Linked DNA regions of Rattus norvegicus. The protein of the gene in region 1 interacts with the protein of each later gene in a biochemical or structural test. Links are inferred from orthologs where the notes say so. Each region holds a gene or a part of one and is shown in the gene's direction. Other genes may lie near its edges. The genes, in order: Eif2ak2, Tarbp2 and Eif2a.

Region 1 (2,876 bases):
GCTCTCCATGGGTCTTTTATTCTTCCCTATGAATTTTAAGATTTTTTTTTTCTTCCTGTTAAGTATGTCATTGGATTTTTGATGGGGTTTATAGTGAACTTGTAGGTCACCTTTAGCACTATAATACTTTTCAATATTTTAATTCTGCTCATTCACCAGCATAGGAAGTCTAGGTCTCTCCGTGCAGCCCTGGCTGCTCTGGAATTCACTCTGTAGACCAGGCTGGCTCTAAGTCAGAGATCCACCTGCCTCTGCCTTCCAAGTGCTGGGATCAAAGGTGTGCACCACCAGGCACAGTATAATTTTTTGGAAGCTATTGTCAATAAGATGAATTGATTCTTTTAGCATATTCATCAATGAAACAGAAAAAAAACCTACTCATTTAAAAAGTTATTTCCTGTGTATGAACTTGCCTGTTTGAATGTATTTGTACCCACAGTTGCCAGGAGAGAGTGTCAGATCCCCTGGAACTGGAGTCAGATAGGCAAACCACCGTACAGATGCTGGGATTGAATTCAGGTTCTCTGCAAAAGTCGAGACCTGGGTGATCTCTCCAGTCCTAAACCAGGATTCTTAGATGTTGACTTTGTAGTCAGTTAGGAGTTTTTGTTAGAAAGTTTAGAGTCGGGGCTGGGGATTTAGCTCAGTGGTAGAGCGCTTGCCTAGGAAGCGCAAGGCCCTGGGTTCGGTCCCCAGCTCCGAAAAAAAGAACCACAAAAAAAAAAAAAAAAAAAAAAAGAAAGTTTAGAGTCTCTTATGTACAGGATTGTATTGTTTACAAATGAGGATTTGGCCTCTTTTCCTGTCTGAATTTCTTTTCTATCTTCTCTTGTCTGGTTACGAGTTCAAGAAGTAGATTGAATGTGGGTGGAGAAAGTCCATCCCGTTGTCTTACTCTTAGTGCTGGTGGAAATGTTCTTGGTTTTGCTCTTTAGTAAGTAATTAGCTGTAGGTTTGTTTTATAGCCTCTATTGTGTTCCTTCTATTTCTATGTGATGGTTAATCTTGGTGCTCAACTTCATGAGATCTAGAATAAATAGGCATTTTTTTTTGTTTTTTCCCCAATAATTTATTTATGTTGATTCACTTTAGATCTCGATCATAGCCTACACCTCTCCCAAGTCCAGCTCTTCCAAATCCCTTCTCCCATTATCCCCTGTCCTTCTCCCCAGAAAAGGGGAAGCTTCCCTTGGGCACCACCCACCCTGAGACATCTAGTCCCAGAAGGACTAGGCCTATCCTCTCCCTCTGAGGCCCAGCAGTTCATGTAAGGGAAGGGGAGCCAGTGCAAGGCTAAGGAGTCAGAGACAGCCGGCGCTCCAATCGATAGGGTACCCCCATGAAGACCAAGGTCACATCTGCTACAAATGTTCAAAAGCCATTTTAATGTAATATACCACTTATAGCTATTTTTTTTCCTCAAAAGGCATGGAGGCTTATATTAAATGAGTAACAAAGACACATGTATTTTTGGCTTTCAGTCATCGTTAGTGGAATATGGAAAGGAAGTGGACATCTTTGCTTTGGGCCTTATTCTAGCTGAACTTCTTCACATATGCAAAACTGATTCAGAGAAAATAGAGGTAAATATCCCAACAATGAATGAAGGAAGTGAAAGCATTGACAACCCGTAAGTGCTACGGTTATTGCCGTTTGGTGAGGGGGTGTATGACCACATTAGCTTCTCTTTCAAGTGTTGCCAGCCATTTTGCTCTAGATTGAAAAGTTTGGCTTTCTTTAGAGTATGTGCATAGCCCATAGGATTCCCATTCAAGTTTGCCAACCCAAATCTCACTGATTAGGGGGGAGTTTCTGCTCTAAGTGCTACCTGGATATAAAAAGGAGCAAGCCAGTTTCTCAAGTGATTCATCTTGTAAGAGGAAAGAAAGATAACATCAGAGAATGGCTATTTTTAGAAGACAGAAAAATCTTTCCAGAAGTCTGAATTTAGGTTTCATGGAAACATGTAGGCTGGGTACTGAAGGGTCAGGTTGTTTGTTTGTTTTGTTTTGTTTGTTTTTTGGAGGGGTTATTTAAAGGCATATGCATACATACACACAAAACATGTGTTTGCATGCTCTGGTATGCTCATAGCAGTCAGAAGACCTCTAACCAGAGTTAATCCACTCTAACAACCTGAAATAAAAAGCATGCTACCCCGCACGGAGATCAGAATGAGCAGTGTGTGTTGGGACTAACGGGCGGTGTAGTCTTATCTGAAGCTGGTGATTTCCCCAGGTGGGGCTGGAAAGAGTTTGGACTCTGTCGTGTAGATGGTGGGGAATCCCTGGAGACAGCAGGCGATTGGACATCCTAGTTGGAAACTCAGGAAAAAAAAAAAAAAGGCTTGCCTGGAGTCAAGAGCCTTATCTTCCCTAAAGTAGAGGTGATGGAAGGATGTACTGCCTAGCGTTCCGAGACAGAGGGACTGAGGGATGAGTTTCGTGCACTTCAAAGCACTGACTGTTGAGGATGCTCCTAGACTGGGGTAGGCTTGGGGAGGGGCATTTTGTCTGCTTCTTAGACTAAGGAAACCACCCTAAATTTTAGAAATCTAGTGTGACTCCAGCTATTCCTGTGTTTATAGTTTTTCTTCCTATGCAAACGACTGCTTAGTAAATACATTTATTCGTTGTATTCCAGTTTTTCCAACTTCTAAGAAATGGCGTCTTCTCCGATGATATTTTCGACAACAAGGAAGTGAGTACTTGAAAGCAGCCAGTTTAATTTTTTCCCACTCTTTTCTTTCCTGATAACTGACTCTTAACTCTAATTAACAGAAAAGTCTTCTACAGAAATTACTCTCAAGTAAACCCAGGGAACGACCCAATACGTCTGAAATCCTGAAGACTTTGGCTGAGTGGAAGAACATCTCG
Region 2 (4,332 bases), on another chromosome or scaffold:
CCCACTACTCTAAGCCCCGTTCCCACTCGACTTGAACTCCCGCTCCTTCCAAGGCCCCCGCCCCTGGCCCCCCGGGACGGACACGCCCTGAGCGGGGGATGCTGCGCTGGAGTCGCCGGCCTCTTAAAGGAGCCCGAGGCTGCCATCCGGCGCTCTCCAGGCTGGTTCCTGGCGGGCCACGACCCTGTGCCTCCTTCCTGGAGGTGTCCTACGGCAGTCCCACTTTGGTCCTCATGCGGATTCTGTAGGAACCCCTTGTGACCTGTCTTACAGACTCTTATATCTCGAGAGCGCAGCCCCTCAGTATACACAACGCTCTGGCACTGGTCCCTTGTCATACCGATATCTCCAGTTGGCCTTCCCTCGTCGCTGCTCCATTTTCACCCAATTGGAATCCACCCAGTCGTAGGTCCCTTCCCACCTCAGTGTTCCTGGTCGACCGATCGCTCATTATCATCTTTACAGATTCCTCTTACCTCTAACCCTATCCCTTCTTAGCAAGACATCTCATCCTAGACCCATTTGAATCGCGTTTTTCGTGGTATCTCTTTCTCCTTCTGTCCAAGGTCACAAGATTCCCCCTACTTCTTTCACTCTGGTGGTTATCAAGGCTTTGGGAAATCCAAAAGTACTCGTTCAGCTCTGCGCGTATTTTAGTTCGTTAGTTACTCTTGTGCTCTTTCAGCTGATACTAAACACAGCAGAATGTCCTCCTAATGATTCTCGGGCAGTTAAAGAGAGGTTCACTAGGGTCGATCTAAAGAGGCACAAACCCTGACAGGCTGCGTGAAGTTAGTGAAGAGAGGCGAAGAGCAAGCCACAGAAAAGCAACGGTTTTTTTTTTTCCTTTTTTTGACGCGGAGGGCTGAGGGTCCAAGATAATTATGCTCCAGCCTGAGAGACCAATTCTGAGGAAAACTCTGACTTACAAAACCCTACAGCTCTGGGGTGAGGGTGGCCAGGTGAGGCCCACCCTCTGGGGCAGCAAAAGGACTACGCCAGCAGCCTCTCTGCCAATTACAGCCTTTCCTCAAGAAGAAGGCTATACCTTTCCTCGTCTCCGCCCTCTGGGCCAAGTGACCAATCTGCAAACGCCTAGAGAAAGTCGCTCTCGGTAGAACCAATGAGGCAGCGAAGCCTGCAGTGGTGTCCGGATGGCACGTGGGCGCCTGGGATCTGTAGTTCTCTCTGGGAGACAGCCCTTACCGCCCCGCCCCCGGCCGCCTACACTCGGCCAGTACGCATGCTCACAGTCTCGGCTCGGGAGGAGGCGGTGCGCAAGGAGGAAGGCGGGGTGATATTAGAAAACAAAAACCACTCGTAGCTTGGGACGCTTCCGCGGAGGGTCTGCTCCTCCCAGAGGGCGGTGCAGATGCCCGGGCGAGCCTCGCTGAGGGTTGTGGGGCGGGTAGCTCGGATCCTGATGAAGACACAAGGAGTCGGGTGGGCGGGGGACTCCAGATCCCAGCATGCCCCGCGGCGGGCCCTACCGGCCGCGACTCCGGGCTTGGCCCCGGCCCTAGCTCGTCGGCGGTGTACTGGGGTGCGTGGAGACTGTAGTCACGGTGGCGCCCGCGGGGACGGAGGAGGGAATGAGTGAAGAGGATCAGGGCTCCGGCTCTACTACAGGCTGCGGGCTGCCCAGGTGAGCTGCCTCGCTTGGATTCCTGCAGGACGAAAAGTGTGAGGTGGTGCGGAGGGGCAGCGGCGCGGCCCCAGCATGCACCTGGCCTGAGGGTTGTTCCCAGCAAGCACTGGGGTAGTGGGCAGAGGTTCCCGGCATGCACTGGGGCTGTGGCCACAGCCTCCAGCTTTAGTTTGGGGTTGGCTTGATTCCCAGACTGCACTGGAGCCCTGGGCTTTATGCCCCGACGTTCAGTGTATTTGGTGGGTACTGGGTTTCCGAATTGCATTGTGCCAGGGGGAAATGCACGTCCAACCAGCACTACGGCACTGGATCCCTCGCCTTAATTGAGAACAGTACCTTCTCCACTTGCCTTGGGACTTTGCTTTCCCTCCTGCATCATAACTTTTAACCCAGTCGATGGATGCTATACTGCCTGGGGACTCATGAACCCTATAATGTGGCTAGGTCTAATATGACAGTGACTGGCCAGGTGGGTGCCGAAAGGGGAAGTGTGATGTTGGTCTGTGCCCCTCCCCAGCATAGAGCAAATGCTGGCCGCCAACCCGGGCAAGACCCCGATCAGCCTTCTTCAGGAGTATGGGACCAGAATAGGGAAGACGCCCGTGTACGACCTTCTCAAAGCCGAGGGCCAAGCCCATCAACCTAATTTCACCTTCCGGGTCACCGTTGGCGACACCAGCTGCACTGGTGAGGAAGGCCTGGGCAGCCTGGCTGGGGTGTGCATTCACAGGGCCCGTGGCTTAATATCATGGAATCACCTCACAGTCCTCTCCTGTAAGGCCAGGGAGGGATGGAGAGATTTCAGGGGGAAAGCCACCGTTTGGATTAAACAGGGCTGTGAGAAGGTGGACAGGACCTGAGAGACTCAGTGGCGAGAACTGGAAATATCACAGGGGTCTGCTACTTTATCACCTCAGAGGAAGACACTGTACTCTTTGTGGGGATTAGGGGGAGCAAGCACACACTCTGCCAGCCTTCATGCCTCACACTGAATGTGAAGAACTTAGTATGAGGGATCATCACATGGCTGGCTCATGTTCACATGCCTAATGTGTGGTAGAGCAAAGCTCAGAGTTTAGAACAGACCCTCTGCTGTCTCTTTCCCATTACTGAGGGAAGAGAAAAGAAGAAAGACAGAGTGAAACATCTCTCCCCAGCCCACCAGGGTTGGAGCTCAGAAGTTCTCCTGCCTGCAGGGTTTAAATTACAGGAGCTGACTGGAAGAGATGGGGTGTTCAAGTCTCATTTATGTTGCTGTAATAAGGCTCCTTAACCAAAAGCAGTTTAGAGGAGGAAAGGATTGATTGGTTTACAGTTCAGGTTATATTCATCATCGAGGGAAGCTAAGGTAGAAACTCACATTATCAGTCAAGACCAAAGAAAATAAACTCATCCTTGCCACCTCTGACCAGGGAACTCACTTCACAGCCATAGGAGCACAGCAGGAACAATGGTGGATACCCCATGCTGGTTGGCAGGCTTATTTATCTGCTAGGTTTCTTGCAGAGTTGAGGACCACTTGCCTAGGGATGGTGCCACAGTAGCAGGCTGGGCATATTTGCATCAATTAGCAGTCAACCCAGTCCCCCAGACATGCCCACAGGCCAGGCTGATTTAGGCAATTCCTCAGTTAAGGCTCTCCTTCTAGATGATCCTAGGCTGTGCCAAGCTAACTAGGACAAAGGCTATTCATTCCAATGATTAGAGCCTTTCCAGTTCTGACAGGGGAGGTTGGTCAGAGGACTGTTCACTCCTTCTGACTGTGTGAGAGAGACTGTGGGGGCTGGTTTCTCTGCTGTCCTGCCGGTGACCTCCAGTATTGCCCACACCCCTTTTCTTAGGTCAGGGCCCCAGCAAGAAGGCAGCCAAGCACAAGGCAGCTGAGGTGGCCCTCAAACACCTCAAAGGGGGGAGCATGCTGGAACCAGCCCTGGAGGACAGCAGGTGAGGGAGGAACAGCCAAGGCACACTAGAAGCCCTGCTGAGAACCCAGGCCTCTGCACTACCTACTTCTCTCCTAAGCCTGGTCTGGTGACTCACGGCCACCCTCTCGTGGCTCCTTCCTGAGAATTTCCTTTAAAGCTGAATAGGGTATTCTAGGATGCCTCAGGGTAATAGCCAGCCCCTTTGATGGGTGGTGGCTGCTCTGGGGCATGAGATAGGGCATAGGGGGTGGAGGCTAAGACTGATAAGTTAGTCCCGGCATGCCCCCTTTCTAGCAAGATGGGTTTCCCTCTTCCACATTCAGGTTGCAGCTTGTTGGGTAGGAAGAGACTCTCTTTTCTGAGCTCCCCACCCCTACCTCAGTGCTTCTGAGCCAGTGTGGGTCAGCAGAGGATCCCAGGAGGAAGAGCTGTTGTTGAGGCTCTCCGAGTCAACATCAGGGGGAAGGAGTTCTCAGGGGATGGAAAGGTCAGAAGGACCTCACACCCTCATTCCCTTCTACGTGGGTGTGAATCCAAGGCCCTCTTCCCCTCGGGAAGTTCTTTTTCTCTCCTAGACTCTTCAGTGCCTGAGGACACTGCTGTCATTGCTGCAGAAGCTGCTGCCCCTGTTCCATCTGCTTTACTAACCAGGTATCTTCAGTCCCCTGACATCTTGGAGGAAGGAAGGGGTCTTGGCTTCTAGTCTTATAGCCCTTGAACCCAGGCAGGTCAGGATGAGGAAGCTTGAGAGTAAACAGA
Region 3 (4,346 bases), on another chromosome or scaffold:
GGTTGTCTTAAATAACTAATTTTACCTGAAAACACTTGTCTCATACATTAAATTTTTAAACAGGTATGTTTCCTCTACAGAAAAATCAGTTCTTTGTGCTAGTCTTACTTTATATACTTTTTGACATAGAGACCTTGGATGCTGGTACCGTTCAGTCTTGCTTTAGTATCCAGATGTTCACAATGTTCGTTAAGTTATTTTTGATAGTTACAATGCAAATCACTCATGCCAAGAGTTATTTGGTGTTTAATTTCTTCTAAGGGATTATTAGGAAGATATAATCTCTTTTTTGATCTTCTATGAACACAAATCAAGATAAGAGAATTTCTGGGGCACCACACTCTGTGGTACAAGTAATCTGGTTCACTAGAAACAATTCTCAGCAGGTGGGTTGAAAACCACGCGGGTAAGACTCGTCACTCATCCACGTCATTCCAAACCACGAGAGCCCCCAAACACTTACCAGATCCACAAACGACAAAAATGAAGAGGGCCAATAACCAGGGTCCTACCGACGCCTTTTCTTCGGGGGCATTTCTCTGCAAAAAGAAAAACCCAGTTTCAAATGCAGAGAAACCACTCTCGGATCCCGGACTCCCATGGCCTGCACCCCAGGCCAGATGGCCAGACCAGCAACTCACAGATCTCTCCTCCCACCCTAGATTCCACCGCAGCGGGAGTCCGGAGTCAGGCGGGTCTGGAGAGAGCTAGCCGCGGCCATGGCCCCGGCCCCGGCCCCGGCCCCGGCCCCAGCCCCGGCGCGGGCCTCAGCCCCCGGCCCCAGCATGGAGAAGGGTGCCCGCTTTTCCTTACCGAGGTCTTAGCGACGTTGCCGCGCTGAGTTATGTTCTTGCTGTGCTTCTCGTTGGCCATACGGATCCTCTGCTTGGCGACCATCTTCGCGGCGCCACCTGCCCCAAGAACCTCTCGGACTCGCTCGCTTGCCGTTCCCCGGCCACCGGGAGGCTCGGCTCGCGGTGCCTACGCCGCCTACGGCCACTGGGCCGGGACGCCAAGCGCTGGAGCACCGGCAACCTCCGATCACAGCGGTCTGAGCAACCGAGGGGCGGCGCGCCGGAGAAAGAGGGCCGCAGGACCGGGAGGAAAGAGTCCAACCACCCGACAGTGCAGCCGGCAACCTCGAACTAGTTCGGGTTCGGCTGCCAACGTCAGCACTGGGCAGACCCCGCCCCGCGGAAGTATGGACTCCGCCCGCTCCAGAGAAGGAGGGCGAGGGCCGGCCGCCGCTGCAGCCAGGCCCTTCCACGCTCGGGAAAGCGAGGAGCCAGAGCTGCGCGTGCGCACTCGGAAACCGGAAGTGAATTGGCCCCGAGGCTGGCGGCGCCGGAAACACCAACTCGCAGTCACTGTGCTTGGGGAGACGTGTAGAGGCCGGGTTCGGCCTTTATTGAACTCTCACCCCAGCGCATGGGTTTCTCTTTCCGGGACAAGATGGCGCCGTCCACACCGCTGTTGACAGGTGAGTTCCGAAAGCGCGAGAGACTCTTTCTTTACAGTGGTTTCTTTCTGTGTCTTCGTGCTGGAGAATTACTTAGCAGACCTAGGAAGTCTGGCTTGCATTTTCTCCTGGAAGGACCAGACTGTCTTTTGGTTTATTTGACAATAGCACGCCAATGGGAAGTGAATTCTCCGTCTCCAATATTCCCTCCTCCCAGTTATCCATCCGTCGTTCTTCAACTTCTATAGGAATAGACAGGTAACAGAAAGTACGATTTTGATGTGTGACTTCTGGTCTGTAATACTGGTGCTGCTCGGACCCTTCTTAAGTCATCTGCCTATATAATAGAAGAAACGTGACTCCACATCATTTCATCTGAACTTAAGTAATTATGTTACTTAAAAATTATGTACTCCCTATTTTTATGAGGTTTGTGGAACTCGATAGGGAGCAAGGCATTGCTAGTATAAGTTAGATTTCATGATGAAGATTGGCTTAGGGTGGCAAAAGTAAGCAGGATAATGATAGTCTAATGTTTTCAGGTGAAGCAGTTGTGAGAATTGAAGTAGAACAGTAGAAGACTCTGGGAATTTGAAGCTGACACTGATTATGGTGCTTAAAAACAGGGCTGGAGAGATGGCTCAGCGGTTGGGAGCACTGACTGATCTTCCAGAGGTCCTGAGTTCAAATCCCAGCAACCACATGGTGGCTCATAATCATCTATAATGGAATCCAATACCCTCTTCTGATGTGTCTGGCAGCTACGTTATACTCATACATATAAAATAAATAAATAAATCTTTAAAAACAAACAAACAAACAAACAAACAAACTTGGACAACACCGGGAAAGGTGCTATGATATATTATGGTAGGGCTTGGGTGTGTAAGTTTGAATAAACAAAAGAATTCAAATAGAAAAGAATTGGGAAAGAAAAAAAACGTTGATAACAATGTAGGAAGAAAGATAAAATCACTAGGACATAAGTCTTACTTTTGTGAATTGGAAGTTACGTCCTTCTGAGCCATGGCAAAACTGTTATACTTCTTGCCAGTCTAGGAATACACTTTAAGATCCGTGCTTACTCGTGTTCAGTTAGACTACCATAATTTATTCACCAAATATTTATAAAATGCTAGTTATAATCTTCTAAACACTACACCCGACAGATTGCTTTCTTATATTTAGATTTATTTATTTATTTGTGTGTCTGTATCTGAGCATGTACACAAGAGCGCGGGTCTTTTTTTTTTTAAACATGTATTTATTATGTATATATCATACAGCTTTCTGCCTGTATGTATGCCTACAGGCCAGAAGAAGGCACTAGATCTGATTTTAGATGGTTTGAGCCACCATGTGGTTCCTGGGAATTGAACTCAGGACCTCCGAAAGAGCAGACAGTGCTCTTAACCTCTGAGCCATCTCTCCAGCCCAGGAGCACAGGTCTTAAGAGTACCAGAAGAGAGTGTGGGCGTCCCTGGAGCTGGAGTTAGAGTTGTGGGCCTCACCTTAAGTGAGTGCTGAGAACTGAACTTATTTCTTCGGGAAGAAAAGCAAGTACTCTTAATGCTGAGCCATCTCTCCAGCCCTCTGACACTATTTAAATGGCATGATTTTGTAATTAAATCAGTTGTTTCTCTAATTTCATAAAGATAACTTTGTTTAGAGGTTTAATACTAACTGAATATTTAAATTTTACTTTAAAAAGCGATTAAATGTTCTGCCCTTCTGAGGCAGTGTAAAATCCATCCTCTTTAGCCCAGCATATGGATCTCTTACAATCCTAGAACAGCTCTTGACATATTGCATGGGCATCCCGCCTTATTTTGTGTCCCATTAGTACTGAGTTGTCACAGCCCTTTAAGCTATTCTTTGGAATTATCCTATTCTTTCTGTTGACTTGGCACGCTACTTAAAGCAATTTCCCACACTTTCTGGACGGTTGCTTTGTGAGCTATTTTTCACTACTTTTCCACTTATCACGAAGGAAATTCTGTTTGTTCAGCTATTTTCCTTCCCTGATAGACTGTTAAATTCTTGATGTTTGGGGTAAAGTCTTATTCATCTCTACCTTTTCAGCACCTAATGCAGAACCCAGTAAAGGACACTAAACTAATTAACTAATGAAGAGTAGATTGTATTTAATCAAATCAACAGAGTAACAATTTTTCTCACAGGAGTCTAAGTTAAAGTCTTTGTTCTGACACACTCTCATAGTATCATATTCTTAGATACCCAAAGATTACTTGGCCAGATTTACATTACATATTTGCAGTGTCAGGATTATACCCAGATATTTCCATTCCATGGTCTATTATCTACCAGTAGAACACAGTTTACTCTTTCAACCATTCTTAGTTTTAAGTAAAATTTTAAAATCCTAAATCTTGTTTAATGTATATTTCCAAGATTTATAGACCTGTAAGTAATTGTAGCTTAACAGTGAATTTTATTGTTATGACTCTAAGTCAGAAATAAGAAAAGACCAAAACACGTGAAACTTGAGTTTTTAAACACTTGTTTTAAAAAGCTTTAATGTTAATAAATTTAAGTATTCACATAACCAAAAAATACCTATTTTCTCTATTTCCTGATTCTTGCTTTTCTTTTATTAAAGGAGACAGATTTATCCTCAGGCAGATATTCAACCAGCTAAGTGACTCTAAAGAAAAGAACTTTTCTTTATTTGGCCAGCACTCCCAACAGAAATCCCAAATTCTTTCCTTTAGAGAGTGTGTTTTATGTGGGTCTTGTTTTTCCTCTTGTTGCTGTTTTTTCTTATCTCTGTTATTTTGGCATTTACTATCTGCCCTAGGATGAGGTATAGATCTTAAATACAAATTGTGTAGGAAACCCCTTTGGTTGTCTAGAATATCCTGAGTTC

What was found.
Region 2: the proteins of Eif2ak2 (region 1) and Tarbp2 form a complex in vitro, tested with the Homo sapiens proteins (2 studies listed by BioGRID, with this or other methods). The link is inferred for Rattus norvegicus from reciprocal best matches to the Homo sapiens genes EIF2AK2 and TARBP2.
Region 3: of the proteins of Eif2ak2 (region 1) and Eif2a, one has a biochemical effect on the other in vitro, tested with the Homo sapiens proteins (4 studies listed by BioGRID, with this or other methods). The link is inferred for Rattus norvegicus from reciprocal best matches to the Homo sapiens genes EIF2AK2 and EIF2A.

What each region holds. Positions count from the first base shown.
Region 1 is NC_086024.1:21,972,097-21,974,972, forward strand, and holds part of Eif2ak2 (interferon-induced, double-stranded RNA-activated protein kinase), read left to right. Parts: intron 1-1,481; coding exon 1,482-1,583; coding exon of another isoform or gene 1,584-1,630; intron 1,631-2,643; coding exon 2,644-2,700; intron 2,701-2,780; coding exon 2,781-2,876.
Region 2 is NC_086025.1:135,526,221-135,530,552, forward strand, and holds the start of Tarbp2 (RISC-loading complex subunit TARBP2), read left to right. Parts: upstream 1-1,489; 5' UTR 1,490-1,592; coding exon 1,593-1,645; intron 1,646-2,165; coding exon 2,166-2,335; intron 2,336-3,489; coding exon 3,490-3,592; intron 3,593-4,131; coding exon 4,132-4,224; intron 4,225-4,332. UniProt on the Homo sapiens protein: Required for formation of the RNA induced silencing complex (RISC). Component of the RISC loading complex (RLC), also known as the micro-RNA (miRNA) loading complex (miRLC), which is composed of DICER1, AGO2 and TARBP2.
Region 3 is NC_086020.1:144,909,924-144,914,269, forward strand, and holds the start of Eif2a (eukaryotic translation initiation factor 2A), read left to right. Parts: upstream 1-1,436; 5' UTR 1,437-1,452; coding exon 1,453-1,480; intron 1,481-4,346. Other genes in the region: Serp1 (stress-associated endoplasmic reticulum protein 1), read right to left, coding at 464-539, 814-897. UniProt on the Homo sapiens protein: Functions in the early steps of protein synthesis of a small number of specific mRNAs. Acts by directing the binding of methionyl-tRNAi to 40S ribosomal subunits.